Schizosaccharomyces pombe: one gene and its partners. Changing the gene in region 1 together with any one later gene gives a genetic interaction. Each region holds a gene or a part of one and is shown in the gene's direction. Other genes may lie near its edges.

The links.
Region 2: of swd22 (region 1) and cut14, a mutation in one rescues a mutant of the other (synthetic rescue), as found in Schizosaccharomyces pombe (one study listed by BioGRID).
Region 3: mutations in swd22 (region 1) and hif2 together harm fitness more than expected from each alone (negative genetic interaction), as found in Schizosaccharomyces pombe (2 studies listed by BioGRID).
Region 4: mutations in swd22 (region 1) and ctf1 are lethal when combined (synthetic lethality), as found in Schizosaccharomyces pombe (one study listed by BioGRID).

What each region holds. Positions count from the first base shown.
Region 1 is NC_003424.3:1,684,783-1,692,215, forward strand, and holds swd22 (Set1C-histone-H3K4 methyltransferase complex subunit Swd2), read left to right. Parts: upstream 1-5,483; 5' UTR 5,484-5,579; coding exon 5,580-6,605; 3' UTR 6,606-6,933; downstream 6,934-7,433. Other genes in the region: bst1 (GPI inositol deacylase), read left to right, coding at 408-3,836; SPOM_SPAC824.03C (uncharacterized protein), read right to left, coding at 4,120-4,863; HOPS complex subunit Vps16, read left to right, coding at 7,225-7,255, 7,296-7,330, 7,379-7,433.
Region 2 is NC_003423.3:2,875,299-2,884,752, reverse strand, and holds cut14 (condensin complex SMC subunit Smc2), read left to right. Parts: upstream 1-3,384; coding exon 3,385-6,903; 3' UTR 6,904-7,066; downstream 7,067-9,454. Other genes in the region: ubiquinol-cytochrome-c reductase complex subunit Qcr10, read right to left, coding at 1-28, 73-122, 173-216, 269-339, 382-393; SPOM_SPBP4H10.07 (ubiquitin-protein ligase E3), read right to left, coding at 1,197-2,948; S-adenosylmethionine decarboxylase proenzyme Spe2, read left to right, coding at 7,384-8,520; calcium-dependent serine/threonine protein phosphatase calcineurin catalytic subunit Ppb1, read right to left, coding at 8,894-9,454. UniProt on the Schizosaccharomyces pombe protein: Central component of the condensin complex, a complex required for conversion of interphase chromatin into mitotic-like condense chromosomes.
Region 3 is NC_003421.2:189,009-197,028, forward strand, and holds hif2 (Set3 complex subunit Hif2), read left to right. Parts: upstream 1-5,355; 5' UTR 5,356-5,543; coding exon 5,544-5,595; intron 5,596-5,685; coding exon 5,686-6,452; intron 6,453-6,490; coding exon 6,491-6,910; intron 6,911-6,962; coding exon 6,963-7,418; 3' UTR 7,419-7,520; downstream 7,521-8,020. Other genes in the region: GET complex subunit Get2, read left to right, coding at 251-775, 836-1,084; kinetochore protein fta7, read left to right, coding at 1,722-1,837, 2,015-2,171, 2,230-2,394, 2,518-2,814; protein pdh1, read right to left, coding at 3,438-4,118; sec6 (exocyst complex subunit Exo3), read right to left, coding at 7,801-8,020.
Region 4 is NC_003423.3:4,004,114-4,011,477, reverse strand, and holds ctf1 (cleavage and polyadenylation specificity factor complex subunit Ctf1), read left to right. Parts: upstream 1-3,438; 5' UTR 3,439-3,450; coding exon 3,451-3,481; intron 3,482-3,523; coding exon 3,524-4,473; intron 4,474-4,510; coding exon 4,511-4,621; 3' UTR 4,622-4,871; downstream 4,872-7,364. Other genes in the region: Sre1 cleavage-activating protein Scap Scp1, read left to right, coding at 1-20; mrpl3 (mitochondrial 54S ribosomal protein mL44), read left to right, coding at 706-1,269, 1,309-1,569, 1,841-1,996; rpp102 (ribosomal protein P1), read left to right, coding at 2,094-2,162, 2,302-2,541, 2,659-2,682; TRAPP complex subunit Trs23, read right to left, coding at 2,691-2,970, 3,176-3,294; DASH complex subunit Dad4, read left to right, coding at 5,144-5,248, 5,308-5,421; SNARE protein Vti1, read right to left, coding at 5,450-5,537, 5,613-5,674, 5,839-6,090, 6,196-6,306, 6,353-6,458, 6,496-6,521; ESCRT II complex subunit Vps36, read right to left, coding at 6,763-7,364. UniProt on the Schizosaccharomyces pombe protein: Component of the cleavage factor I (CF I) involved in pre-mRNA 3'-end processing.

The sequences.
Region 1 (7,433 bases):
AGGATCTACTTTTCATTTCTAATAATTGATTTCTTTGACACAGTCCTCGATTTTGGAGCTGGATTCTTCATTTGAGGCAACAAATTGATTAAAGGACTTAGATATAACAGTGTTTGGGAAATACTGTGAAATTCCTACTTATGTCCTAAATTACGAGGATTTTTATTATATGTTTTTTTTTTCTGTTGTTGTAACCTGTCTAATTTTTTGCAAACTGGAAATTTCTTTTTCAGTTGATACCTAATTTGCACTTCATCTAAACAACTGAGTCTTAAATATTAACAGGTTTTACTTGCCTTTTGAATTATTATTTCCCTTTTATTTGTCTTTAACTTTCATTAGCGGCCCTGGATTTGTATCAAGGCTCAACCCGTATATCGTCTTCTTCGTCTCGGTTTTTTAAAACTATGAAAGACGATAAGGGAAGGTCAGATACTGTGAATGGCTACTATATCTCCAATTCAAAGCTTTCAAGCGGCTTTTATAAACGCAATAATGCCAACACAGCCTCAAACGATGAGAAACCTAATTTAGAGCAAAATGATATTCCTAGCGTTACTAGCTCTGGTTCTTCAACACCTAGCTCTATTTCCATAGAAAAGGAAATTAAAATCTCAAAGGGGAATGTTATAGTTAAGGCTATACGAAGCTGGTCTCTTTATGTTGCAATCATCGCCATTCTTTTATTATTAGTTATTCTACATTCTTTTCAAGGTCGTCCACAGGACAATGGTTGCGGAAAGTCCTATGTTTGGCCTTCTTATGTTCGTTTTGTTGATTTTGATGAACGTTACACTCGTTTCGCAAATAAATATTCGCTCTACCTTTATAGAGAAAAAAGCGTAGAGGAAAGTGACGAACCATCAGGTATTCCTATCCTTTTCATTCCTGGTAATGCGGGTAGCTATAAACAAGTAAGAGCTTTTGCTGCTCAAGCTGCCCATGTTTATGCTAATGCTTACGCTGAAGACGCTGATGGTACGCTAAATGCTGGTAAACTCGTCCCTGATTTTTTTGTGGTGGATTTTAATGAGGATTTTTCAGCATTTCATGGCCAAACGCTGTTGGACCAAGCTGAATATGTCAATGATGCTATTCCATATATACTCTCTCTTTACCGTCAAAATCGAAAAATCTCTTCGGAGTATGACAATGAAGCTTTTCCTCCCCCAACGTCCGTTATATTACTTGGTCATTCTATGGGAGGGATTGTTGCTCAAGCTACTTTTACGATGAAAAACTACGTTGATGGTTCTGTTAATACCCTAATTACTTTAGCTACGCCACATGCAATGGCCCCTTTGCCTTTTGATAGGCATCTAGTAGAATTTTATGAATCAATTAAAAACTTTTGGTCCCAGTCCTTTCTGTTGAGTCCAGAAGAAAATTCACTAGATGATGTTTTGCTTGTTTCCATAGCTGGGGGAGGTTTAGATACTCATGTTGTACCGGAGTATTCGTCCATCTCTACCTTTGTGCCCCCCTCGAACGGTCTAATGGTTTTTACTTCTGGTATCCCTTCCGTTTGGGCAGAAATTGATCATCAAGCTATGGCTTGGTGCGAGAATTTCCGTCGGGTACTAATTCGGGGAATTTTTGCAATTATGGATGCAAGGACATCAAAGTGCACCGTTTCTCTTAATTTGAGGAAGGAGTTGCTTAGTCGTGCCTACATCCAGGGTTCTTCTTTTCAAAACGACATTACGCAAATTTCCAAACCAATTGCTCAATACAAAGCTTTGGACCTTGATCTTACTTACGTTTATAGCGAGATGCCAGGGCAACTGTTATTTTTGAACCAACTAGGTGTTTCTTATATTCGGCATCATATCTTTCCTATTCCGAAGCCTACCTCAAGCATTGACCGATTCGAATTGCTTACTGATCAGCCTATTGATCTTTCGTCATCCAATATTAAAGTATTGGCTTGCCGCCTTGATCCAAAAATTGATAATACTATATCTGCTTTATTAGAGAATGGTAACAATAAAGTAATTAACGCTAATTGCCATTTACTTAGGGAATTGGTTACTTTGCTTCCTGCTTCAACTGCATACACCAGCAGTCCATATGGTGGTGACAGTTTTTATAACTACGTATTGCCAAAGGAAAAAATGGATGATTATCATTTTATTTTAGTGTCTGATGATTCGAAAGCACCCGCTAGTGGGTTTGTTGTTGGGGGATTTTCAAATGTTTCGTTGGATCCTAAAACGATTAAAGGTTCTCAAATTGAACTCTTCAAAAGCGGAAGAAAATTTCAATTCGACACCAAAGGATCGATTTCGAAACGCTTCAGGTTCCCTGGTATTCAGAGCTCAATTATGGCTTACACCATTTCAGTAACGTACGAACTTTATCCTGGTGCCGTACCTCAAAAAGAATTTACCCCTATGTTAAAGCAAAGTATTGAATCTCCATTTGAAACAAAATATCATGTGAATATGTCAAATACAGAACTTTCTGTTCACGGGATATCCCCATTTATGGAATTTTTTGGTAAGGAATCAGAAAAATCTTTAACTCTCGAATTCTTTTTGAATCCTGCTATCTATAAGTCGGTTTATGTTTCAATACAGCCAAGTTATTACAGGAGCGCTGGGCGTCTGCTCATGCGTTACAGAACATTACTTGCTTCCTTTCCTGTGGTTGTAATTAGTTTGGCAGCTTACAATCAGTTTAGGTATTTTCATTACGGTTCTGCATACTTGAGTATGTCGGCTGCACTTGAAGTCATGATTCGCAAAGGACTTATCAAACTCCTTTTTTTAGTTTCGATCTTGTCAATTGCATTTTCATATTTAATTAGCAGAGTAGAGTTGATTGTTGCCGATGGTGCTGACCCTGTCGCCTCTTGGAAAATATTCGCAATGATGGTTCCAAAATCTTTCTGGAAACAAAATCATTTACTTTTTGGACTACAGACTGCTCAATTTTGGTTCCTCGCCCCGCTGTTAACTTTAATGTTTGTTGGCTTAGTTATAACAGCCAGTGTTATTATACTCTGTGTCATGCATTTATTAGCATTCATATATGGTATCTACTTGCGTTATAAAGGTTTGACTTTTACTGGTGTATGCCAAGCTGTGAAGTTCTCCTTTCAATGTCTGAGAACAAGAAATACTAGAAAATTGGATCATGGAGAATTTAAAAAACTTTCGAGTTTTCTATCTCAGAGAAATATGTATTATGCAAACCCTTCTCTCTGTTACGTATATGGAAAGAAGCATATGCAAGCTCGGATAATTGGCATCATGTTATTGTTGCTCATGGCAATGACGGTGGTACCCTTTCAACTTGTTTATGGTGTTGCTTTATGTACCCAGACAGTAACTACTGCTAAAGCTTTACACTTGGCCCGATTTTGCACCAAGTCAAGCCATTACCGAAAAAAATTGTGGGATTTCTACAATTTCTCTTGCACGATAACAATACTGATGTTACTCTTAGCTCCTTTGGACTTTCCTGTTCTCATTGTTTGGGCTAGAAATCTTTCCATGCATTGGTCTATTCCTTTCCCCACACATCATAATTTCTTCTCAATTATCCCTTTTATATTACTCACCGAAATTTTACGAACAGGAAAGATGCTACCTCGTTTGAACGACGTGGAGTACTACATAAATAACGTTTTTTTGTTTCTTCTGTCTTTCTATTCATTGATATATGGAGCTGAAAAACCATACCTCATTCACAATGTAGTTGGGTTATACTTTTTTTGGCTTTTATTTTTGTATGCCAAGAATGGTTTTTTTGTACAAAACATTTCGAAATGGCCGATCATTCCTAGAATGAAGTATTTTATTAAGCACAAATTTTTGCGATCTATTTCTTAATGGAAACTTGTAACAATATTATTTAATTCTTTTCTCTTTTTTCTTTATTCTCTCTTTTATATTACATTATTTCCTTTATTTTCACACTGTTGAACACTTATCATACTTTAATTTTCAAGATAGAACTTCGTTTTTATTTGGTAGACATTCGTTCATTGAATTTTATTTCTATTTATTACCTTGAATAATATCTCTTTACAAAGTTTATTGGTTTATCAAAGACTGAATAACTCACATTAGCATGATGGAAATAGAAAAAGATGAATTAATATATGAGCTGTCATCAACAGTTAAGAGATATTTTTTGATTTTTGTAGACCAACACTAAAGGTACTGGCCTTTCTTCCGTACGTGATAATGGCTGTAATAGTTCAAATAAGGAAACATAATTCACTTGGGAAAATTCCTGAGATAAAGGCACAATATTAGCGGTTGGCGAAGGAAGCTTGTAAATCTGGCGCACACTCAGGTCGGGAAAAATAGCCAAAGCTTGGTGATTCCAAACAAATTGAAACATGTAGCTATGAAATCCGTCAACATATATGCGGCATAAGGCAAGAGGTCTGTTGCTGATGGACAAAGTCTTCAGTGAGGATGATGTGAAAGAACCCAAACAAGCCAAAATCCCAAGAGTATCTGTTGGATAAGATGACAAAGAGCCTTCAAGCTCTCTAACAAATCTGGGCCCTATTGATCCCTTGTTAGATTTGCAGGATACGACAACTTTGGTGGGCTCAAACAACACATTTTTAATCGAAAATTGGCCCACCAAATCCACCCCACCATCGCCCTTTCCACCACATCTTTCAAGCTGAAAACTGTGTTGCTTTAGCACATACTGTACCAAGTATTCAAACAAGGTTCCTTGGGCAACAGTATTCGACGTTGAAGGCTTCTGAACACTCAAATGTTCTAAATAGGAAACAAGATTGTTGTGTGTGACAGACAAGTTTCTAAGGCCTAAAAGGCCTCTGTTCATGAATGAAAAATTTCTACACCGATTGAACCCTGACTTTAAAATCCACATCACGCTAGACAGAATGCGAAAGACTTAAACAGTATAAAGTTCAGGATAAGAAATGAATTATGCAAATATTCATTCCCTTCTAATTCGAATAACAACGACTGAGGATCGAAAGTAGTTATTTAAATAATTTTTGCTGAATTTTAGAAGTTCGTGAATCACGCCGTTCCTTAGTAATTTTAATTAATCTGTTAACGGTTTGCAAAAGCAAATTCGCGATATCTAAGAAAAATTTATTCAGAAAATAACAAAAATACAGAGCTTTGAGGATTACAAGCAAGCGACAAAATAATTGAAACTGGTTCTGCTGTATTTCATGGAATGATCCAGCTTCCTTGGTAGCTTTGTTTATAAGTTTTCCTTAATAAAAATTTACTCTTAAATTATATTTGATAATATGAAAGTTTTGATAACATCACGCCTCCATTTCCACAATATCAAGCCTTCAGACTCTTTTATTAATCAAGTGTATTTTTGGTGGAGAAATTAATAGCCTGTTAATTTTCAACTTCACTATTCTTTTTAAAAGTTTTCGAATTGTAATTTAAAACTGTATACTAAAACGTGCTACAGTTCGTTAAACACGTTGTCTGGCACTACTCTAATTTTGTGGAATCACAAGTAAACAAATGCAAGCAAGGGCTTAGCAAAGTAGAAAGGCCCTTAAGGGGATATAAAAGGAAATTCAAAGAGAATTTATATATTTTATTTAATTCTCAATGGATATCGGCATACTTTCGAGTTTAAAGCCTGCACAGTCGTTTCGTGATAACTCATTAGGAAGCTTCATTAATAGCATTGATTACAGTGATTCTGGAGAGTATGTTGCAACGACATGTTCTGCCGATGACACAGTCCAAATATATGATGCTTTAGATCCGAAGCAAGTCCATACAATAACTTGTTTCGAAACCGGCATAGAAGTTGCTCGTTTTACACACCACGATCATAATCTACTTTTGTCTACCACAAAGGGGAATAAGGATATTCAATATGTTTCAATTTATGACAACAAAAGAATATCGTACTTCAGTGGGCACACGGACATCGTTTCATCCATTGAGGTTTCTCCTATTGAAGACCAATTCGTTAGTACGGCAAACGACAAAACCTTGAAGCTTTGGAAAATGAATCAATCCTCGAGATGCCTTGGAAATTTAGATCTCCCATCCCTTGGAATTCCCGCTTATGATCCCACAGGTCTTGTTTTTGCGGTTGCATGTCATTCACTGTCACGTATCTTTCTTTACGACGTGCGGAATTATGGTTCTGATCCGTTTTCAACATTCACAATAGATGACTCTCGTTACTTATCAAGGTTTTCGTTTCCCCCCATGATGCCTGAGTGGAAACATATGGAGTTTTCCAACGATGGAAAATGTATACTTCTCTCAACTAGAGCTAATGTTCACTATATACTTGATGCATTCAGCGGGGATGTTTTATCTAGATTAGAGGACTTCCAAGAATTGCCGTTCTCCAACAATTTTCACGGCGGCTCAACCACTTTTGTACCTCAAGGTAATTTTGTCATAGGATCTGCTGACGACCGTACCCTGAATGTATGGAATTTAAGACATACCTTTCACCATAAAGGAAAAACAAGACCTCCTGAACATCGTATTGTTTCTCAGTCTATAATTAATCCAGGTCTTGTTAAGTATAATCCTAGGTATGATCAACTTTTGACTGCAGGGTCCCAACTCGTTTTTTGGCTTCCCGAAAAATATGCCTTAACATCATGATTATACTGCTAAAGCATACCGTAATCTTCTCCCAGGTTTTAATTATTATATAATCTTATTTATGTCTTCAACAACTACCTATACGTAAACCTGAGGAACCTGTCATTTCAACAAATGAACTAAAAATTTTTAAAATATAAAATCCTCATAAATCTTTAATTGATTTTTCATATTTCCCGATCTTAATTTTCTTCATGCAATGTTAGAATTTTTACTAATACCCTTTTTATTAAAGGATTCGCTAGAATTCATTGATATATGAATATCAAGAAATCAAACTTTGCGATAAGCAAAATAATGTTAATACTATTCTATCTTTTGACATATACCATGTTGACATTGTATAACGCATACGTATGCATGTAAATGACTCCTAGATATATCTGTTTTCTTATTCCTTCAATCCACTGTAATTAAAAAAAAAGATTAAATTAAAGAAATCCCAGGTAAACGGGAAAGCGAATTGTTTAGGTGCTTGACATAGTGAGATGACTCTTACCAGTTGCTTTAAGTGTGATCGGGGATACCACTGTTCGTCACAATACTCACGTGTAATATACATTGAACTACATTTATAGAAGTTGCTTCACCTTTTTAGCATTTTCTAAATAAAATAGAAATGGAGCCTTCAATAAAGTATCCCATCTATGGTATGCCGTTCAGTTGCATAGTTATACTAATTTACGAAAGAATGGGAACTTTTACAAGACACTTATTACCAAAAGGTACGTCAGAATGGAATTTGTAACAGAGTTAAAAACTAATGTAACTAGTCAGCTATTGGAAAGGCGGAATGGGAATATATAGATCCTGTTGACTTTATGTTTG
Region 2 (9,454 bases), on another chromosome or scaffold:
TAAAGTGGTCGCCAATGAATGCGATAGGCTGTCCCTTGTTAGTTGCAATCTTTTACACTTGCTAAATCATACCTGAAGAATAGTAGTCTTAACCTTAGGAACCTGCATAGCAAAAACAAACACTTCATAGCTTATTAGTATGCATACGCACACATTTTTTTAGTCAACTTACCGCCGGCTACGGCTGCAAAGGCCCAACGGGAAAAGGCAGGAATACTAAAATTTAATGTTAATAATCATATATTGAAGTTAGATTCAGCAATCCTACGTTTTCATAGTTCTTTCAGGGGTGATGAAAGAAATGTGAGGTTGAACATGATACATGGGCTTATTGGGAAACTAATCATGTTAAAATCATCCTTTTTAACGATATAAACTTACGAAAGAAATCATTGTAACTAATTTTCAACAAAATGAGAGAGGAGGTCGATGGAGTTATTTTATTGAGTCACCCACCTGATATATATCTTCCTAGCAAACTATGATAAGTTGCGTTACATTCCGTTCTCCCCTATTGGGTATTAGAAAATATACTTCCCAAGCTGTGCTTCGAATTTAAATGGATTTTAAACAGTTAACATGATTTTACATACAAACTTCATACTTATTGCTTTAATAGTAGATGATGCGAAGTCAACAACAGTTTTTTGTTATTGAATAAATTGACAAGCCGTATATCAAGTAGACCATTGTTACTTAGCTTTATTAAGAAATAAACAAACGCATTGAAAACGTAAAAAGTTAGGCAACATTTTTCACTTGAAGCAAAGTTAGGCATAAAATCAGATATAAAATTATACAAAGTGAAAAACTGATCAATATAGGATATAAATAATCCAAGGAATATTAAATAGGCCTCATTGTAGAAACCATTTTCCGAGACTGGGTGTTGAAAATAGCAAGATGATCAGTCCATCAATGGAGTCTACCTTACCATAGAAAATTCATCATATAAACAAACAAAAATAATGGAAAACAGAAAAGGAAACAAGCCCGTTTTGGCTTTATAAGCTATGCTTTAAGGATCGTCAGGTCGAGAGGAAGGGTTGTGACATGCCCTTTTAAATTCTCATAGCTAAAAGGAAACAAGGAACATTAATAAAATATATGGGTAAATACATTCAAAATCGTTTTGGTGGAAGGAATCCGAAAAGTTTTTAAAGCAACAAAATTGTCATGATGATTGATCATGTTGATTATGGCTTGGGAGAGGACGGAGTAGATGCTGAAGCAACACCTTTAGTACGACACAGGGGGCATGAATTTTGGCTTGAAGTTAACCACTGATCTATGCATTCACGATGAAAAAAATGATTGCATTGTTTAAGACGGCGACACTCATCGTTCAACTCAAAATTTGATAGACAAACAAGGCATCTTTCATCGGTTCCCGAAAAAGGGAATACACCACCTGCCTTTTCAAGGTCTTTTTGTGAAGCCACTGGCGGCTTTTCAATACCGATAATAGAATTCAATAAAAGCATGTCCTCGTACGTTGGTGAATCAGTAAACAGTGAAGGTGCTCTCAAAACAGGATGATTTTGAGGTACAAAAGCTTCTCGAACGTATATGGCCCAGCTTCTGGGCAATTGGTGGTCCGTTTGCGAATTATTATTTCTAGTTTCAGGTGCTTGTTGAGTGGAGGATCCATTATTATCGGAAATCCCATTTACGTCTGTAGCAGTAGAAGCTTGCTCGTCTTCGGAAATATGTTCTGCCTCATTAACATTTTCATTTGGCCCCGTATTATCACTAACGGACGTTGTCTGATTTTGCGAGTTAACAAGTGAAGATATCAAATCAGAAGGATGCATTAAAGTTGGGGAATCGGCACTTGGTTGATCATCTTCATCACTTCCTGAATTTCTTAGACTTCGGATGCCAACTATTATAATCGGGATTACTTCTTGACCTTCATGATTTCGGTGTAAATTGTCAAATCTAAAAGTTCGAAAAAGGTTTATAGGACCAGATTCTTCTTCAAGATCCACAGCATTTGCAATTAGTTCTGCAGTCCTAGGATTAGTTTCTGCGTTCATCGCCTGCACCAGATTACCAGCGTGCAAAAGCGATAAAAATTCATCGAAAGCAACATTTCCAGATTCCACATTTCCAGAAATTGAAGAAGGAAATTCTAAATTGTTTGATTGATGTGCACTCGAAGAATTCATCAGTACACTAACCCAACCAGACGCTACTGAAAACACAAATCGAGAAAGCATGACTAGTTGACTTTCTTCTGGAGAAACAGATGCTTGTTGAGTATTTTCACTATTATTAATATAGTTCATTACCGCACGAGTATAGTCCTCCATATTTGAGTCCGCTAGAGAAGTGACAGATCTTACCGGCAATCTTCCAATTGCAGTTCCCGGAGATTCTAAATTATTTACAGAGCCATGATCCTGCATTTCCTGTCCACCGCTCGAACTGACGTTTTCATCTTCATGATTCGATGCCAACGTAGACTGATTGTTTTGGGTATTTAAATTGCGTAAAGCAGCAATACTAGAACGAAATCTTCTAGCAGCACGTTCAAATTCCTGTTGGTGATTTTCAAGGATTAACCTGTCTGTTTGAGGTATTGCAGATGTTTGTGATTCGCCTTCTATACGAGAGCGAGGAGTAGCTGGTGTAGCTGGTGGACTTAACGACCTTAGAGAAGGAGAATTCCTATTCAAAAGCGAACCACGGTAGCGAGAACGAAAAGCCGATCTTTCAGTAGTTCTATCACGATTACCATTTTCCGAATTGCCTTCATCGTTACGATGCCGCTTTGCTCTTCGAAGACCTAAGACTCGCTGCAAAGAGGGAAAACGATTCCACAGCCTACTAAAGCCAGAATTTTGTCGATCTGAATCATTAATGTTTTCACTTTCTGATGAAACCGCCTGCATACTTGCGTCCCTTTGAATTTGCCGACTGGGAATGGATTCACCTTGCCCCATTTGTGTAGTGAGTGCAGTACTGATTATCAAATATAGTTAAATAACAGAAAAGATAAAATATATGTTTTAAATTAAAAAGAATTTAAACAAGTTACTTGAAAGTATTAAAATACATAAACTAATAAATCTAAAATGTTAATAGCGGTAAGCTTTTTGCATACTAAGCATCATTACGTAGTTTAACGTTGCGGTAAATGTTATTAGAGTAGTCGCACTCTTTTATATCTACTATGAAGTCTTATTTCACCTTTAATGCTTTAAACGACAAACAGCTTTAATCATTTTTACACTAAACAGCAAACAGTTCGGACTGAAATGTACTGCTGAAGATTTATCTCCCTCTAGGAAATACTTTACAAGTCAATCAGTTTTTTGAATTCTAGTCTTAAATACTTGGGCTTCAGTAAACAAACAGAACGAGAAATTTACTGAAGAAATGAAAATAGAGGAACTCATCATTGATGGTTTCAAATCATATGCTGTGCGAACTGTCATTAGCAATTGGGATGACCAATTTAATGCTATAACGGGCCTCAATGGGTCTGGAAAAAGTAATATATTAGATGCAATATGCTTTGTCTTGGGAATTACGAATATGTCGACTGTCCGTGCCCAGAATTTACAGGACTTAATTTACAAACGCGGACAGGCAGGAATAACCAGAGCTAGCGTTACCATTGTGTTTAATAATCGGGATCCTGCGTCTTCACCAATTGGTTTCGAGAATCACCCGCAAGTAAGCGTTACAAGACAAATTATCATGGGCGGTACAAGCAAATATTTGATTAATGGACATAGAGCTCTGCAACAGAATGTTCAAAATTTGTTCCAGTCTGTTCAGTTAAATATTAATAATCCTAATTTTTTAATTATGCAAGGTCGAATCACCAAGGTTCTTAATATGAAGGCTACTGAAATTTTATCAATGATTGAAGAAGCCTCTGGTACTCGAATGTTTGAAGAAAGGAAAGAAAAGGCTTTTCGAACAATGCAACGAAAAGAAGCAAAGGTTGAGGAGATTAATACACTGTTAAGAGAGGAAATCGAACCCCGACTTACCAAACTTCGTACAGAAAAAAAAACTTTTCTAGAATATCAACATATTTATAATGACTTGGAACGATTAAGCCATCTTTGTACTGCTTACGACTATTATAAGTTGTCACTTAAAGTGGAGGAATTAACGGTTCAAGCATCCCAGAAGCACAGCCATATCGCCGAGATGGAATCTTCATTACAAACATCGAAACAGGAGGTTTTAATACTAAAGGAAAAGATTAAAAAAATTGAAGATGAGCGAATGAGACAAATGAGTGTTTCTTCGGATCGTACCTTGGACTCTCAGTTACAAACTGTTAATGAAAACATCACCAGAATAAGCACGTCGATAGAATTAAAGAATACAGCTTTAGAGGAAGAGCATGGGGACCTTCAACAAATTCGTGGAAAAGCTAAGGAATTAGAAACTTTGTTGCGCGGAAAAAGGAAACGACTAGATGAAGTGCTTAGTGTATACGAAAAAAGGAAAGATGAACATCAAAGTATTTCAAAGGATTTCAAGTCTCAAGAAGAGCTAATTTCATCACTTACAACTGGTCTTTCCACTACAGAAGGTCATGAAACTGGCTATTCTAGAAAACTACACGAAGCTCGAGATACGTTGAATGACTTTAAAGCTGAAAAAGAAACCAATCGATTAAAGCTTGAAGGACTCAATAAACAAATATCTTTAACTAAACCTAAGAAGGCTGAGGCTACAAAACGATGTGATCAACTCAATCGCGAAATCGATATATTACAAAACCATGTTGAGAAGCTTAAAATGTCTTTAAAAAATACAAATTCCGACATTACAGGTGAAGATGTACTCCAGCAAAAGTTGAAGCAACTTGCTAAAGATCGCGGCAATTTGTTAAATGAACTTGATGCTTTAAAAAGCAAACTTGCTTATATGGAATTTACTTATACCGACCCTACTCCTAATTTTGATCGCTCAAAGGTGAAAGGATTGGTGGCTCAATTGCTAACCTTGAATGAAGAGAATTATGACAAGCAAACTGCATTAGAAATTACAGCTGGTGGCCGCCTTTATAATCTCATTGTTGAAACCGAGAAAATTGGTGCACAATTGCTTCAAAAAGGAAACCTGAAGAGGAGAGTTACTATTATTCCCCTCAACAAAATTACCAGCTTCGTAGCTTCAGCAGAGAGAGTAGGCGCAGCCAAAAAAATTTCTAATAATAAAGCCCAACTTGCTTTGGAATTAATCGGTTATGACGATGAGCTTTTGCCTGCAATGCAGTATGTTTTTGGCTCCACATTAGTCTGTGATACCCCTGAATCGGCAAAGAAAGTTACCTTTCATCCTTCAGTTAAATTAAAAAGTGTCACGCTTGATGGTGATGTTTATGACCCATCTGGTACCCTTACTGGTGGGTCTGTGAATAAATCTGCCGGTCCTTTACTACAGATACAAAAGCTGAACAGTCTGCAGCTAAAATTGCAAGTAGTTACTTCAGAATATGAAAAGTTGGAGACTCAACTTAAAGACTTAAAGACTCAAAATGCCAATTTTCATCGACTTGAGCAAGAAATTCAACTAAAGCAACATGAATTAACACTTTTGATAGAGCAAAGAGAGACCGACTCATCTTTTCGTCTTTTATCTGATTATCAGCAGTACAAAGACGACGTTAAAGATCTCAAGCAAAGGCTTCCTGAATTAGACAGACTTATATTGCAAAGTGACCAAGCTATAAAAAAAATTGAACGAGACATGCAAGAATGGAAACATAACAAGGGATCAAAAATGGCTGAATTGGAAAAGGAGTTTAATCAATACAAGCACAAGTTAGACGAGTTTACTCCTATATTGGAAAAGTCCGAGAATGACTATAATGGCGTTAAACTCGAATGTGAACAATTAGAAGGCGAATTGCAAAACCATCAGCAATCTCTCGTACAAGGTGAATCGACCACGAGTTTAATAAAGACGGAAATTGCAGAACTTGAGCTGTCACTTGTTAATGAGGAGCATAATCGAAAGAAACTCACCGAACTAATAGAAATTGAAAGCGCCAAGTTTTCTGGACTTAACAAAGAGATAGATTCACTCAGTACCTCAATGAAAACATTCGAATCTGAAATAAACAATGGGGAGCTAACAATTCAAAAGCTGAACCACGAGTTTGACCGATTAGAGCGAGAAAAATCAGTTGCTATAACTGCTATTAATCATTTGGAAAAGGAAAATGATTGGATAGATGGACAGAAACAGCACTTTGGTAAGCAAGGAACCATTTTCGATTTTCACTCTCAAAACATGCGTCAGTGTAGAGAGCAGTTACATAATTTGAAACCGCGATTTGCTAGTATGCGTAAAGCTATTAATCCCAAGGTTATGGACATGATTGACGGTGTAGAAAAGAAAGAAGCCAAATTGCGCTCTATGATAAAGACCATTCATCGCGATAAGAAAAAGATCCAAGATACTGTCAAAAGTATTGATCGGTTTAAAAGGAGTGCCTTAGAAAAAACCTGGAGAGAAGTCAATTCTTCTTTCGGTGAAATTTTTGACGAACTACTTCCTGGTAATAGTGCAGAACTACAGCCACCAGAGAATAAAGAATTCACTGATGGATTGGAAATTCATGTAAAAATTGGGTCAATTTGGAAAGATAGTCTGGCAGAACTTAGTGGTGGACAAAGGTCTCTAGTTGCATTGGCTCTTATTATGTCTCTACTTAAATATAAGCCTGCTCCAATGTACATTTTAGATGAAATTGACGCGGCGCTCGATTTAAGTCATACCCAAAACATTGGAAGACTTATTAAAACAAAGTTTAAAGGTTCTCAGTTTATTATTGTTAGCCTTAAAGAAGGAATGTTTACCAATGCTAATCGACTATTTCATGTACGATTTATGGACGGATCATCTGTGGTACAAGCTCGCTAATTTGAACGTAAACACTTGAATTATACGCGCATGTATAGTCCTACTATTTACTATCACCGATGTCTTAATTTATTTAAAGAATATTTCTACCAATCATTAAAAACAAGACTTTTGGTTCTTTAAAGTTGTTTGTGCCGCTAATGAAACTTAGACTACGGTATGTATCATATGTATAAAATATCGTAAACTCATCATTTCCAAATTTATTATTAGCGTCGATGTCATTTGTAGCATATTCAAAAATATTTAGGGTAGGGTTTTAAAATTTTGATCGATACAGGATGTTTCTGTGGTTATGTATTTAGCCTCAACATCATATAAAATTGGTGCGACAGCCGCAATTAAGTTATTATTTGTATGCTTTTTTGCTAATAAATATCCTAAAAGTGTAACTGGAGCAACTAGCTAGTACGTGTTTTGGGAATTACACTCACAGCGCACATATAGCATTGGAAGTTCTTTGTATGACTATATTCTAAAATGTCTCCTACCCTTGTTGTTGATCAAGAGAATTCGGAAGAATTTAACACCTCCTCATTTGAAGGTCCTGAAAAATTGCTGGAACTATGGTTTTCGGCTCCTATAAAAACCAATTTAAGTGCGGGTGAAAAGGCTAACTTGGGACTAAAAGCTGTTTCTCGCAATGATTGGGATGATATGCTAGCCCAAGCCCAATGTAAAGTCCTCAGCGTTGTTAATAGTGAAGAAATAGATGCATATTTACTTTCTGAATCCTCTATGTTTGTGTTTGCCCATAAAATTATCCTTAAAACATGCGGAACCACTACACTACTGGCTAGTTTGCCTCGCCTATTAGAAATTGCTTCTAGTGTTGGCTTTGATCGTCCTCTTCGTATTTTTTACTCAAGAAAAAACTTTTTATATCCCGAACGCCAGCTTGCACCACATACGAGTTGGGAGGAAGAAGTTCGTTACTTACAACTGTTTTTTCCAAGTGGATGCTCTTATGTAGTGGGTCCGACAAACAAGAATCACTGGCATCTGTTTTCTGATCTGGCTGATGATTATTCTTTACTGGAAGATTCCCTTGATCCTGAAGATGAGACCCTAGAGGTACTCATGACTGATATGTCTCCCGAACGCTCGCTTCAGTTTTACGCTCCATCCTTGGATGTTGTTCGGAGCGCTAGAGGTGATGACTATGTTCGAGAAAAAAACAATCTCTCGGGGGGTCACATCCTTGGCAGTTATGTAGCTGATGAATCGGGTGTTAGAGACTTATGTAGTACCTCTGATAAAAAAGCAGTGCTTGATGCTTTTCAATTTGAGCCAATTGGGTTCTCGTCGAATATGATTTACAAGGACCGCTATGCCACAATCCATGTTACGCCTCAAGAACATTGTTCTTATGCTTCATTTGAAACAAATGTTTCGCAATTCCAATTCGGAAGATCCATATCTGAAACAATCGAAAAAACTGTTAAAACTTTTGGTGCAAACAAATTTTGTCTTACCCTTTTCCAGGCTAAAGGTGCGTCTCAAGAGAAGCATTTCTCGGCCAAACTTAAATCTTTTAGCTCTTATAAGCGTGAAGAATTTATAGTGTATGACTTTCCTGGATATGATCTTATATTTGCCAGCTTTACTGCAGTATAAGTTCGGAGAACAGTCAGCTAGATATTTTAAATTATCTGTTGCTATATTTATTATCATTCTTTTTTACGGTGGAGCGTGCCATGCGAATACCCCTTTTTACAATCTTTCATTATGCAAAAAGTAGTCGTCTTTTGTTTGCTTGTTTTATAAAAGGTTTCATAGTTATGAATACCAAAAAGTTTATTATGAATATCTAAATGCAATGCTTATGTATCTAGTCATCGGTTATCTTGTATTATGCTAAAGTAAACTCATTTGCTTTCTTTATTTTGAGTGTTTAGATATTTGTTGTAAGTATGCTTAAAACCTCGGATCAGGTTTATGCTCATTGAAAAATTCCAACTAAAAAACGAATATGCGCAGGTTTTGGTATCTACAAAGAGCTTTTCTTATCTGCAAAGCGTTCTACCAAATGATCGATAGAGGTATCATCTTCAGACGAATTCATTACTTCTTCGAAAGCCTTTAAATCCGTAGAACGTCGACGGCTATTAGATGGCGGTAAACGTTCATTTTGGATATCCAGCTTACGAGCATCATCGAAGGAATTGATAGCATTTTTGATACCCTCAGCTCCCAACATTAAAGTACCCGCAGGTAATCTTTGCGTACCTGACACGTTTTTCAGTTCCGAAACACTTTCCCGTTCTTCTCTAAGCACACTGAATACTCGAGAGATACGGCCAATAGCCATAATCTTGTTTTTAATAATTTGCCTACGAGCTTCAATATCAATTTCTTGGTCGGCTTTATTTTCATTCTCAGATGGAGCAGGCTGTTTATGCTGAGTCGGAGCCGATTCTTTCAAATCCGTTTCATAAAGCTCCTCCTTAGAACATATATTGAGCATTGAAATCAACATTTCAGAAACTTTTTCGCCCACAAATGGAAGACTCCAAGTAAAAACATCCATAAAGTTAGGAAGCCAGTAAGG
Region 3 (8,020 bases), on another chromosome or scaffold:
CCTTTTTATAATATAAGGCTAACATGTATGATTCTTATCAAACATAACAGCTGTAGGAATTCAGTATTCTTCTAACACTTATGCATCACTATTTTCTCTCACCCCAAACCCCTCGTATATTGGAAAGTTGTTCAAGTGAGCATTATTGATTTTTTCCCAATATAATATTGATAAAAATATATATCTGTAAAAAAGTTTGGTGTTAATTATTTATTTTATTCTGTTTTCTGCTGATTCAAAGACTTCGAACATGTCGACTGCCAGTGAACAAGCTCGACTTAGACGTGAACGTCGACTGAATAAAATCAAACAAGGAGGTGCATCTAGAATCAATCAAATTTTGGGACAGAATTCAGATGACAGTCAATCCGATGTTCGAGCTACAGCTTCCGAGGAAGCTGTACATTCTGAAACTGCAACACCAGTAACGCCAATGTCTTCAGGATTCATGGAAAAGAGAGATGATACCTTCAATGCTGATCAAGTGGAATATCTTCCTTCCCAAGATTACCATAATTTGGAAAGTTCGCCTTTTAAACTTCAGTGTGATTCTCCATATAATGTACCACCTGAAAACATGTTTAATCAAAACCCTGATTTTGCAAATTTTTTTCAAGCTATGTTACAATCCGCAAAGGAGGGATCTGATACAAATTTTCAAGGTGAAAACGAACAAATTCCTCAAGCTACAGCTCCTTTAAAAAACTTAGTTGAGAAATATGCTCATCTTTTGGCAATTTCTATAGTAGTGATTGTTTGTTATTTTAAACATTTGGTAAGTCCTCATCTTCCTTTTTTGAAATTGTTTTTTTGCATACTAATATATTTATTTCAGCCATTACTTCCGTGGACATTTACTGTCGAAGCTTGCTTGTTCTCTATTCAATTTGTTTTGGACCGTAATAATGGACCTTCTTATTCTCTTCTAGCATCTCTGGCCTCTCAGCTTCCCCCTCCCTATGGAGCAATGATCCGTCATACAACAAGTTATGTTCCGTATTTCACACAATTGATTACAGATGCGTGTATGACAATATTTGCGTTAGGTTTATGTTGCTATTTTTATCCGTCGTTGGTGTATTAATAGTTGTTAATTTTCAGCATTTACTATTTATGAATCTTGGTTTTGCTTCGCAAATTGGTGATCGATTAATTAGCATTCAATTTTTGTTTAGATGAAATAAACTAACTGATTAAGCGAGAAAGACTTTTCAAACCCTTAGGAATTCAATTTTATATTATCTTTTCAACATCTAAACGATTTATATTCTAAAACATACTGCACTTCATTTGAACTGCTTTGCAACACATGCCATATTTACGATTGTCGGTACGTTTTATTTATTTTCTCTTTTAATTCAATGGTAGCAATAGTATATGATTTAAAAAGCTCTGTTTATTGTAATTGTAGTATTAATTAAAAACAGACTACTTAAAGTAATTTCTGGGATAGCTGTGAAAACATTATAACTATGATTTTTAAAATCTTTTATCAACTTATTATTGAAATAAAATAAGTAATTGAGAATTGGCTTGGTTGACTGTATATATGTAAAACAACTTCGTCCGAAGCGCTACAACAGCATGCAAACGTTGAAACGGCGAATTCTTGTTATAGAGAAATTTTTCATATAAAACCATACGTACATATTTTGCTATTTAAGTTCCAGATTGCTTAAAAGAAAATTGAAGTGGTAGCACCATTTTTATAAATATATGCAATGGAAATGAAAAGGCGCGTTCGCGCGGTGCGTCGAGACCAAATTCAAAAAAGATGGCGTCCATTAGAGGATAAGCAGCGCCAAGAAATAATAATTATTTTTAGGACGTGTTCAAGGTAAGTAATTGAGAATCATGTTATTGCTAAAAGTGCTTGTGCTTTTTAGCGCTTACTTGTGTACTGAAAGGGAAATCAAAGTTTGCTGTTGATGTTTACCTGGAAAAGTCTTTTAAGTACTTTTCCAAATTTTTTTAGTCATTATGTGTACGTATGCTAACTGTGCTATCGTAACAGATTGGTTTTGAATACAATAAAATCAGAAACAAGAAAATCTTTGGCCGAGGAATGGTTCATGAATATACTTTTAAAAATCGAAGCTCCTCTGAGAAATTTGCCTGTACCAAGGAAAAGAAAAGAGTCAATACTGTTCTCTCAATTACTTTCTTCGAATGTAAGTTATTAAGTCTTGATACGCATACATACGAAAGAGATATGACTAACATTTTTAGATGCAATTGGAACAGCAATTATACAGTGATTTGGACCATATTAACGTACTTCAACAGGAATTGAAGGTTGAAACTGCTCGTTTGGAGAATGAACAGAAATCTTACGAAGAAATGAAACAAAACATGGCCATAAATAATTCACGGCTTGCCGATTTAAAATCTAAAGTAAGTTTAAAACACGAACAGGCGAATGTTTTATTCAAGACTTCATCTTAACATATGACACAAAATGAGTTTTCCATTGTTTCAGTTATGTAAATAATCAAGCAATCACTAATATTTTCTTAGCTTCACCCTTATTTGAAGAAAGGCTTAAAGATATCCCATGATAATTTTTCAGACTCCAACGATTTCTCGTTCCAAAAGAAACTGAATACAGAAGATTCTAATACTTCTAAAACCTCTACATTGGATATGTATAAAGAAAAATTAAAGCCATTTACGAAAACTATGCAAATCCATGCAAATAAAACTGTTCAATTAAGTCAAACTATACAAAAAGCTACTCTTCTTTTACAACGACTAAACAATACAAAAAATATAGGCCTAAATAAGTCATCCAAACTTAAGATAAAGAATATCTAGACATAGAAAAGCTAGAGCTTAAGACTTGATGACTTCTACATGTTAACATATAGTCCCTGGCCCCGAACCATGACCAACCCAAAAACTGGATTAAATCGTCCTTTAATATAAGCACTCAGACTAATTGTCCCGTCTTCATTGAATTCTCACAAATAGTGTGACGACAAGCCAACTTAATGGAGTGCTTGGTAGATTCCAGCAGCTACGGACTTAATTCAATTAAAGGACTTTTTGCTAGAGTTTAGGGTAGGGTAAGCATAAAATTATAGTAGCATTATAGTATCGATTTTGAAAGTAATTTCTTTTGCTTTATTTAATCATTAAAAGATGCCGTAAAGGATTTTGTGCCTTGCGGAATTGTCAAGAATTGTAGTATTACTCGTAAACGGTCGTGATTGTTATTTAACAGTAGTAACTGCCAAAAAAGACTTAGTTTTTTATTTTTAATAAAAGCCTTCAATATTATTTAATAAATAGACGCAAAATCATAAGCAAACTGATTTTAAATTCATTTGCGCATGCAGTCAATAATTATAAAAGCAAAGCAATACACGGGTCTTAGATAGCTAGTCAAAACAATAGCAATGCGTAAAAAAGTATTGATTTTGATTAAAACGGAAAGTTCATATAGGAAGCTGAGTATGACTTTCTAAATGGAAAAGTTCTTGAACCACAGGATGAACAAACAACACATATAGCTCAGAGATGCAAGTGCCTGAGACAGCTAAGCAGAAATAAGTCCATGGAAAACTTTGAAAAACATAAAATAAGTGAATTGAAAGGAACAAATAAATAAGGTATTTTGACAATGGACAGAGAAATTTGTTTGAAGATTCTTCCTTTTTACACGAATACAATTGGTACCAAGCAGTTAAGATCCCTGCTTGAATTGCGGTCGTACTTTGGATAATTGCGACCAACAAGTAATGTGAATCTGTAATTTTGTATGCAATAAAGCAAGGTATCAAGACAGCAATGTTTGGAATCACTGTTAAAAACTGACAGAAAAGCAAGTACTCCTTATGACCCCATGAACGTTCAATTTCAACGCCATACACCGAGAGAATGAGAATACTTGAAAGTAGCGTAAAAACATTAGCATCAACAAAACTTGTGGTAATTATTGTCCATGGAAACAAGAACAAAGCATTTGGAACCAAATGAAAACATAAAAGAAAGAAAGTTACAATAGAACTCCTACCAAACACTTTGATGTAGATGCTGATTCCAAATGATATTGCAGAAAACAATACCTCTAGGATAAGAAGCCTTTTCGTAACCGAAAACTTGGAGAAATGATTCATTGATAAATTTTAGGTAAAAAAAAATAGTAAAGTTCTCGTTACCGTAAAAATCATCGACGTCAACAATTTTGGTCTCAAAGTAAACAATACCAGGATACCTCTAAGTAAATGGTGCAATCCGAAATAAAATTTCTAGCTGTTTGCATCTAAAAAATAGAAACTCTTACGAAAACTGAATTGGCCAAAGATCGCTTCACTGGAATATAAGCATAATAAGAAATTGCCTATATGGATTAATACAGTTAGTAAATTAGAAAATGAGAAGTTGAGATAAGACACTGCACCTGGTTTTTTAATGCCTTCTCAATAATCTCATTTACAGGGACATTCGGTAGCGGGTAAGATGATAGGTAGGTCATGGCTCGACCAGATTATAAACATCCAGAAAATTACATAACTTTGTAGCTTGCCGATTCTAATAGAAGATAGAAAAGAAGTTTAAACTCGCTGATATATTTGTTTGAGCACAACCTGGTTTATCAAGTAACTATGATCGGTTCGGTTGAGGAGATAAACGCATTCAAAGTTAGAGTAAATAGTAAAGGGAGAAATTAATTTTTATTATATTTGGCAGTTTTTTGAGGGAAACCCTGATGAGAAATTGCTGCATATCGCTCTGCTGGGTTAAAACAAAGTGTTGATTCTCTTAATCGAATAATGTCTTAAATTATTAGTCATAATTCAAATCATCTTTTCCTTTCTTAGAATATAGTGAATGCATTGTTTAGAGCGGTCTTATATCAGAAAGAAGCATTCGCTTGACCTTGAAACATTTGTAATAGAAAATCACATTTCCTTAGCATGATAAGCGGACCCTGAATGTTCAAATTATTCAAATAAAATAGCAGTATATTTTAGAAATAAAAAAACCAAATAAGGCTCCTACCACTCTTGTATGGAATGTTGAGTACAGAAATAGCATACGAATTCATGAAAGTCAGAAAATACAATCTGGCTGCCAACTCCTTAACACAAACTTCTAAAAGTGAATTTTGATTGAAATTAAAAGTCGAAGAGAACTATTAGCATTGCCGTTTTAAGTTGTTAAGAGACCGACTTCAAAGAGGGAAAACTTTACTGAAATTCCTCGGATACAAAAAGTGGGCACTCGATTATTTTTATTTTGATCAAGCGCTGTTTAAATAGTAACCTACGTGCAAATAATAGAGCAGGAAGATTTAATCCACAGTTTCAGCCATCGCACGTATCTAGTTAAATTTCGGTAACTAATACTTCCACAACTACTAAAAACCGTCTCAATGGGAATTCGTCGACAATCCTTCAAGTTAAATCCGTATTGACAGGAAAAGAAAGAAAATAGAAGACTGTTGAGGTTTTAAGTGAAACTCGTTGACAGACCTTAAGATTTGACTTTAATTTACGTGGGTAGCTTGAACCATTATAGATTTAGAAATTGTGGAGGAAATGGATACGAATCAAGTTAATTATATAATCTGGAGATATTTGAAAGAATGCGGTATGTTAAATAGTTGGTTTTTGTGAATCATAGTCGCTTCATCTCTCCTTTTTTTCGGTTTCGTTAACATTATCGTGTTTTTTGTTGTAGGTTATTCGCATACTAAATTTGCATTTGAAAGGGAAACAGGCATCCAAAATTTAGACAAACAATGGGGAAGTACTTGCCAGGTTGGCGCTTTAGTCGAAATTCTGCAGAAGGGTTTACAGTACGTGGAGCTCGAAAAGCACTACGTTGATAATCACTCCTCAAACGAAGAAGCTAGCAAAACATCTATAGATGGAGAAAGTCTTGTAAATGAAAATCCTTGTAAACTCCCTTTCTATCTCACCGTACCTCATATATGCGAAACGACACTGACGAAAGCTGACTCTACCAATGGGTTTTGCGAACACAATAATTCTAATGATCACCAACTTAAAATTTTACAAGATAAGGGGTCTGGGTCGCCTTCATCTCCGGTCATGCCATTTAAGGATAAAATTGAGAAAAGGGATATTGACATTACTATGGCCGATGAATCAAACGTAGAGAAGGATCCGGCTCGACCTATAGCCGTGTACAACAGTTCACCTGTCACGGAAATAACAGAAATAAAACAGGTTACTTTTACTGGCGGCGAAGACATAAAGTCGGATTTTTTCAAAGTAATTCCTACCAAACACCCCGTTACCTGTGCAGATTGGCGTCCACTATTACAAGAAAATTACCATGTTTACGAATTTTCTATTGGTATGACAAACGCTACTCTGGCTTCAGTTAGCATTTGTGAAGAGCAAAATGATTTCAAGGCAAAAACAGATTATTGTCTGCAATCTTCTTTCGATAACCAAGATATCACTGGCGTTGCTTGGAATGTAAGGTTCAAATTTTTTTTTGAAATACTAACTTTTAGAATTCTGGTTCTTTTTTAGCCTACGCATTCTTCAGCGGTGTGATTGAAATTTACGATAGTCATGGTTCTCAAATCCTTAGCTTTCATAACAACAAAGGCCCTGTTTTATCTTTGAAATGGAGCGGTACTGATACATATCTAGCTGCTGGTTCGGCGGATGGAACTATTACACTCTTTGATCAACTGAAGCAAACACAATATTCAATTGACACACTTGCATCTTCCGTTTTAGACATTGAATGGATTAGCTTTGATGAATTTGTAACTTCGGATGTGGAAGGCTCCTTGCGAGTATACAAGGTCGATGGCAAAGCTCCGGTTTCTACAGTTTCTCATGCGCATGATAATTCTATTGTTGCTTTACGATACAATCTACGTATCTCTCTTCTATTAACTGCTTCTAGTGATACCACTGTTAAGGTAAATTTCTTTTGTCATTCTAATAATTACTGTTTTCTAACGTTTTGTATAGCTTTGGTCTAGAGGTGATGCTGGTGCTTTTGAATGTTTACATGTTTTTTCTTTTAGCTCACCGGTTAATTGTATTGACTGGAATTTGCGGGAAGGGACACCAATTCTAGCGGTTGCTTCAAACAGTATCGTTTCTATGTATAATGCTATTTCCCTTCAGCAACTTGCTGTATTCATGAGGCATACAGCTCCTGTTAGTGCTTTGAGCTTCAGTCATAACGGTCGCTATCTTGCTACTGGTGATACTTCTGGGGGAGTATGTATATGGTCATGCAAAACAGCCAAACTATTTAAGGAACTGGGTTCCGATAACTCAGAGTTAATTGCTGTTACTAATGTACTTCCAGAGGAGCAAGTTAATTTCTTACGGTGGAGTTTTGATGATAAAGATTTACTTATCGGTAAACAAAAGAAGGAGATTATTTGTTGTTGTGATTTTTTACATGATTCTCTGTAATTGAACCTAGTTGATCTTGTATATATCCATTTATTACAGTAGGTTCGTTGGGTCATCATCTATAGTCAAATATATACATATATATAATCATATACGAATTTTTATTTGAAGTTACTAAACTGGTAGCTAATATTTGTCAAAACATAATATGAACAGGAAACAATATGGACCGCGAAATTGTCAAGGTCCAATATCTATTTATCACAAATACCTTAATTATAGCGACGCTTTCGATTGCCATCTTGAAAGTTAGTAACAGGTATAATAGATAGCGTGAACGCAAATTAGTGGCTTCGTCTAACATAAATCAAAAGGAACATTACTATAGGTAAAGATAAACCGTACGTAGATCATTAAAATTCAGCAACGACTACTTTGGATCTCATAAAATTGAACTTCCAGAAAGAGACGTGACTTGGGAAAATACTGTCGGTTGTTGCGAAGTGTCTATTTGGAGTGAATCATTTTCATGGCGTACAATATCAATCATCTTCTTTATTATTGATTTTTCCAGGTCGGTGCGGTTTTGAAGGACTGCTTCAACCAAGGACAAAGGTGCATCCCAGTATGCTTCTTTCAGCAAATGAAAGTATTCGGAGACA
Region 4 (7,364 bases), on another chromosome or scaffold:
CGGGGACCATCGGATGTTAAAATTAGTACTTCTTGTTTATTAGCCCTATGTTGATGTGCATATATATATGTATATATAGCTGCGATACCGTTTGCTAGCATGTCATGGTTGTCGGGATTGTTATAAGACCACTTTAGGGCTTATCATTCGTTCTTGAATAAGAAATATGTGCTTCCATTGTGTTTTAACTATTTAATATCTACCCAATTATTTTGTTAGCATTTGCAAGCCGGCCTTGCTAATGTCACGAGACACTTAACGTTTGTGGGAAGTTGCTGATTCTGTTAGTATTTTTAATAATTTATGAAATGTTTTTTTTTTCGTTCATAACTATTCTAACATGTGGATTAAAATTAAAGATGTTGTTTATAATTATTTTTTTTTTTATATTGTAAATTAGGAAGACAACAACACTAATTTTAATGTTCAGAAGTTTATGGTTTGTATCCATGAGGTTCATGCAACTAAACTAGGATGGATTTACTAAAAAATTTGTATTTGTTTTGTTTATAGTAGATTTTTCTTAATAAACTAATCCCAATGTTAAAGACAATTAGCCAAAATTCGTTTTGAATTTCTGGAACGCGTACCCACTTCTTAAAAGTTATCTTCCGCCTATTTTACCTCAACCTGTTTAATAACCACCTTAACGACTATTGTATGCTGCATACATACAGTTTATAATTAATTGTAACTAAAAATACCATGTCGTTTATAAGCAGATCAACAACGACCTTTCGGAGGAGCATATCTATGAAAGACTATGCGAGGGTTCGGTGGTACAGTAACAGCGGCAAATCGTTGATCGAAAATATTCTTTCATCCAAAATTGCAATCTCAAAAGTTTATACCCTTAAAAAAAGAATTGGACTTCCTGAAAGTTATCCAATGAAAGTTCTTGTTCAAGCACTGATCGATAAGACTGTTGTTCAAAACCCCCAATATTCTAACGAAAAACTCTGGTCAATAGGGAAAGTGTTTGGTGATTTCTATGTTCTTGAATACATTAAGTGCAAATACCCCAGGCTGCCGGAGGAAGCAGTTCATGGCATGCAAAATGGGTGGATGGGCTCAAAGGCTTTGAGTCAGTTAGCAACTATCTGGGGTCTTGAAGTACAGAGAAGAGAAGAAGGTTTACAAGAGTCATTTGGAAAAGTTTTAGCGAAGCGTGCTGACCCTGAAATGCTGAGGAAGCCTGGTGAAATTTACAAAGATGAGGCAGCGCGAAGAGCCATTTTAGCAATTTTGGGCGGAGTTTACCTACATCAAGTAAGAAATTTTTATCAGTGTTTACTAATGTTTTTACAGGGATTTAATGATACTAAAAAATTTATTAATGACCACATCTTATCTAAACAATTAGACCCAAGAACAATGTTACAATTGCAATGGCCTCGGCGTCAACTATCTCGTTTATGTAAAAGGCTTTCATTAAAGGAACCAGTCTATCGCATTATAGCCGAGACGGGAAGAAAAAGCAGAGAACCTGTTTTTGTCATTGGAGCCTACAGTGGGCATCACCTCTTGGGACAAGGTCAAGCCAGCAGTCTAAATTTGGCTGAGCAACAGGTATGTAATTGCGAATAATGACTTCCAAATTATTGAAAGTTCACTTATAAGTTTTCTTCATGCTTATGAGATTTGGCTTGCAGTAAATATTGCCGCGATGTTGTATCGTAACACTCCACGATACACAAGGGTCATGTTCTTAAGTGCTGTAATTTACTTCTTTTTATTATTAAGGAACTGTACTACAACTTTGGTCTTCAGCATCAATTTATTTGGAAATATATTATTATTTGAAACACCATCAATATGAACCCTAATACTAACTTTATAGGCGGCATATAACTCTCTTATTTCGTATTATATTCACTCACCGCCGTTTCGCCAACTTCCAAGTGATTACTTAGAAGTCAACGATGGAAAAATCCCAAAAGCCTCTGAACCATACACCTCTATACCATTAGTATCTCACGGCCAACTTGTAATATAATTTATAGTAGGTTAGGGTTTGGGCAAATAAAACAGTCACACTACTTTACACAGCAATAGGCACAACAAATCAATAAGATATCTTTACCAACACCAAAATGTCTGCCTCCGAACTTGCTACAAGTTACTCTGCTCTCATCTTGGCCGACGAGGGTATTGAGATCACCGTAAGTTAACACATTTATGGAGGTGCACGCGTTGTACACATAGAGTCATCAAAAATGATTACTGAAATCCTACCACATTAAATAATGACGCGTCATCATGTAGATTTTGCCTAAAGGGGATTATTAACAGTATTTCTAGTCAGATAAACTCTTGTCTTTGACTAAGGCTGCCAACGTCGATGTTGAGCCTATCTGGGCAACCATCTTTGCTAAGGCTTTGGAGGGCAAGGACTTGAAGGAACTCCTTTTGAACATTGGCTCTGCTGCTGCCGCTCCTGCTGCTGGTGGCGCCGGTGCTCCTGCCGCTGCTGCTGGTGGTGAAGCCGCTGCTGAAGAACAGAAGGAAGAGGCTAAAGAAGAAGAGGAGTCTGATGAAGATGTAAGTATAAAATAGCGGTAGTAATTACTACAACTAGTGTTAAGTTATTTTTACTCATTATTTATTCCTTACTATATTGTTATTTTATTACGCAATTAGGTACTAACTTTTTTATAGATGGGATTCGGATTGTTTGATTAAAATTTTTGTCAATGAGAATCTATGTATCTTTTTAATTGTTCATCAAATAGCTGGCATTTGATTGGCATCTCTAAAGTGTAGAAAGGATTTTTGAGTACATAGTCGGAGTAAAGTTCATAAAACTTTTGTAATTGTAATCTGGCGTTTGTGGTTTTCTTTTCTGTAAATAACACAAATTTCATCCCTGTATGTGTTTGCAAAATATGCATGTTGAATGTTCCTGCTTCCAATAGTTGAATTCCGCTTGATCCTGGTAGCGGACTGATCTGAGTGGAAATGGCATGTACACTATCTCAGTGGTTAATAACATATCATTGAATTTCACAAGTCTGTTTTCTTCAACATAAACTCAAGCGGCACTAGTAATAAAAAATTCATGAAGCACAAGGATATCAAAAACAAGTAATAAATTTAAATTTGATAACTTCGATGTAATAAAGGGTAGAATTTCATCAATTTGATTAGGCTTCTACGTTATTTCCATTGTACTTACCCATGAATTGTCCCTGCCAAAACCAAATATTCGTTAGGTGTTAAAGCCGTTGGTGATGAGCCAAACTCTCTTTGAAAAATCAATGAACCGGCTCTATTGATGATGATTAATGCATGCATAGGTATATGAGTATTAATGATATTTAAATAGATAAATATGAGTTGAAAATTAGCAGCCTTTCGCTGTGCGTAGGAACAAGCTTTGATTTAAGTAGTAGTAGTAGTAGTAGCAGTACGTTGGTTGAATGGGCAAAACCGAAAGACGCGACTACCAGCATGTCGATGACAGCCGGGAATGTCGTATTTGGTAATAATTCTTTAAATATTCGGTTTTGCTAATCTAATTTAGTTGGTAACATTCCATATGATGTTTCGGAACAGCAAATGACTGAAATCTTTAATCAAGTTGGACCAGTAAAGACTTTCAAACTTGTACTTGATCCGGAAACAGGTAGTGGGAAGGGTTATGGGTTTTGTGAGTTTTTTGATAGTGAGACTACCGCTATGGCTGTACGAAAGTTAAATAATTCCGAATTAGGACCTCGTAAGATTCGTGTCGAGTTTCCATCAAATGATCCCAGAAGGAATCAAAGTTATGAATATACGGAGCGTACTGATAGATACATGGAACAGCAAAATGCTCATGAAAGTTCTTATAATTCCCGTTTTATTCCTCCTGTTTTGCATTCAACATCTTCCCTGCCTGCTTCACAAGGAGGTGGGATGCCAAGTCCTGCTATTTATTCGTCGTCAATGGCTACTAATCTTAATAAAAATATAAATTCTACTTCTGTTCCTGCTTATAATTTTCACAACAGTATGACCTCCGACTTTGATTCTGCCAGTCAACCCCATACAGATGCATACAATGCAAGAACCTTTCAGTATAATAAATCTTCACAAAACAAAGGGGATTACACTTCCGGGACTTCTATATCGAATCCGACTTCTATCCCATTGGCCCCGTCTGTCGTTCAGGTACTATCTACCTTCTCAGCTCAGGAACTTCTCAATATGTTGTCCAAACTTCAGACTGTAGTTCATATAGCACCAGAAGAGGCACGACGACTTCTAATTGCTAATCCTGCTTTACCATACGCCGCCTTTCAAGCTATGTTGCTGATGAACTTAGTTGACGCAAATGTCTTACAACAAGTAGTAGTCGCAGTGAAGAATAAAAACATGCATCAACCAGCTTCAGCAACTTCCTCTCCTCCTTCTGTTCCCCAAAAAATACCTTCTAGTAACCATAAAAGTCAACAAGCGAATGGTTCAGATCAGGGCAATGAAGGGAAGCGGGTACGTTTTTTTTTTTTTTTTTGCACTAACAAAACAGATGGCCCTCATACAACAATTGTTGGCTCTTACCCCAGAGCAAATTAACGCATTACCTCCTGCACAAAGGGATCAAATTCTTAGCATTCGTCGGCAGCATTTTCGACAGTAAGTCTAATTTTAGTAATATCAAGAGATTAAATATTAGCATTTGACCAAGTACTTAAATTTGGTGTGCAAGATAATTTATTTACAACACTATAAACCATATCCTAGCACTGATACCTTTTCATACTACACACTTCTTTATACTATTCGGATGTTTTGCTTCTCATAAATATTTGTTTCTATACGCGTTATGGAGGGCTATTTCTTGGATCCTTTATTCAATATCCTTTTATAAAAATTTACTCAATCAATATTTCATATTAAAATTTATTATTTTTTATATTTTAAACTGCCCTTTTGATCGTAAATATATTATAAAAATGTAGGTGGTAACATCAACTGATACTTCTCAAATAAATATGCAACTCATAAATTCCCAAAAAGTTCAATTTCTTAAAAAAAATTTAGATCACAGGTTTAAAATTGTAGTTCAATTTTTCCAACTACGAAGTGTCAGCACTGGCTCATGCAAGCTTCCAAGTACAGACTACATAATTACAGTTTAGGAAATTGAAAACCATCGAAAATGAATAATCCTATGGAAGAACAGCAAAGCGCATTATTAGGAAGGATCATAAGTAATGTAGAAAAGCTGAATGAAAGTATTACAAGACTCAATCATTCATTACAGGTAAGATTACGACGTCAAATATTTGTGTACATATCAACTTTCCGCTGACATTCTTAAAGCTAATTAATATGTCTAATATGAATGTTGAGCTAGCTAGTCAAATGTGGGCGAATTATGCAAGAAACGTAAAATTCCACTTGGAAGAGACCCATACGCTTAAAGATCCCATCTAAAGTTATATGATGTTCTTTAATATTTGTGCTAACGAAATTTGCTATAAAGCACAAGCAAAATTAATATAACAAGGATTGCAATTATTGCTGTCGTGAAAAATCTGTTCATGGCAAGTCTTTAAAATGAGTTAGTATAAAAGATCATTACATGACGATTCATATCACTATAATAATGTCTATCTGTGTCCTACCTTCTTGCCATTGTCTTCAGAGTTCTTAAACTTCGATCAAGGTGTCCAGACGTATCTCCAAGCTAATTTGGTTAACAAATCTCAAAGAAATTTATACATAGCATAAAAGAAAACTATATTTTTAAACCATGGAGCTAATAAGCTTGGCTAAGATATGCGTATAAATCGCGCATTTTATCTTATCAATCATAGTGATTCATTTATCTATTTTGCAATAATTACTTACCATCTCTAAAGAATGCTCCAATTGATTTCTTTGACCATGAAGATCACGAAGAATGCTAGCACCAATGCCTTCAGTCTCATTCGCAATCCGTTGTGATTCAAGAAGACGCTGTGAAGATTGCTCAAGTCTATTTGTTCCTTGTAACAAACGAGTTCTTTGGTCATAATCTTGATCACTTGCAATATAATCACCGGATGTTTCATCCCTATTTCCAAAAAGGGCTTTCCTATCTGATTTGCCAATTTCTTCCTTCTAAACGAGAAAATTGTTAGTATGAATTTGGTAAATAAAAGTAGATTGTCTCATAGTAATTTCTGTAAAGCTTCAAAAGAAGAATGTTCGATATAGCTAACTTACCAGGTGTCTACGCCACTCCTCCAAAGTTGAACGATAACTACGAATTCTTCCATTTACGAGACCTCTTTCAGAAGTAGGGATACCGGTAATTTCAATTTCCATTTGACCAATCTGCAAGTTAGCCACTTTTTTAAAAACACAAATTATTCCAACATACTACTTCATCAATTTCATTTAAAAGTCTCTGACATGATTGAATAACAGAGTTCTCACCACTTTTACTTAAATCATTAAGTTTTTCTTCGATATCTGCTCGAAGCAAGCTAATTATTAGTAAACTTGTAATGGTATTAGACATACCGATATTCTTGCTCGTACGTCTCCATATTTAACAATTATTAATATTGATATATTAGATTTCTTGAAACTATCGTGTAAACAGTTTCTCAAATGAATTAAAAATAAAATAGGTGTAGGTTAAGATTAAATGGTTACGTTGGGAATCGAATACCCATAACAGGTAGTCATATTAATTAAGGCGTGTGTAGAGAGGAATCTACTAAAGCGAAAGAAAAATACAATGTTAAAAGGAATGAATATTAATTAGATAGTGTACAGTTATTATTCCTATGATTCATCAAACCATTTAGTCAATTCTTCTGATAATTCGTCAAATTCGTTTTTCCAGTATAGTAAGCTAGAACCAGATTCTTCATAAACATCACGTACAATGTAACCGTCCATCTCAGCTTGATAAAGTCTTTCTAACGTTACACCAATGGACCAATGCAACCTCATTGCACATTTCAAAGCCGTAGTGCTAGGATTCATAACTTCCAATATAGCGGACAAAAGTTTTCCTGAATGATTAGAAGTTTTTAATTGAAAAAGGATAAGCCCAGAGTTCATTTTGGACGTTGTTATACCAACCTCCATGGAATCTATTAGTTCACAAGCCTTCACAAATCTGGTCGGAGGAATCAGGTTTGCTTTTCTTGACCGATTATAGATGGCCCAAGCCTGGGTCATGGTAACCGTATCGGTATCAGCTTTTAACCTTGTGCGTAAAACTTCTGAGATACTTTTACATAGTTCAATATCATACAATCGAGAATTAGCCGAAACAGGAACATTATCTAAATGATTTCCTCGTAACACTCCTAACTGATTCGATTTGTTTAAAAGCTGCTGTACCTTGTCAGACTGTTGAGTGCCGGTCAGCCCATCCA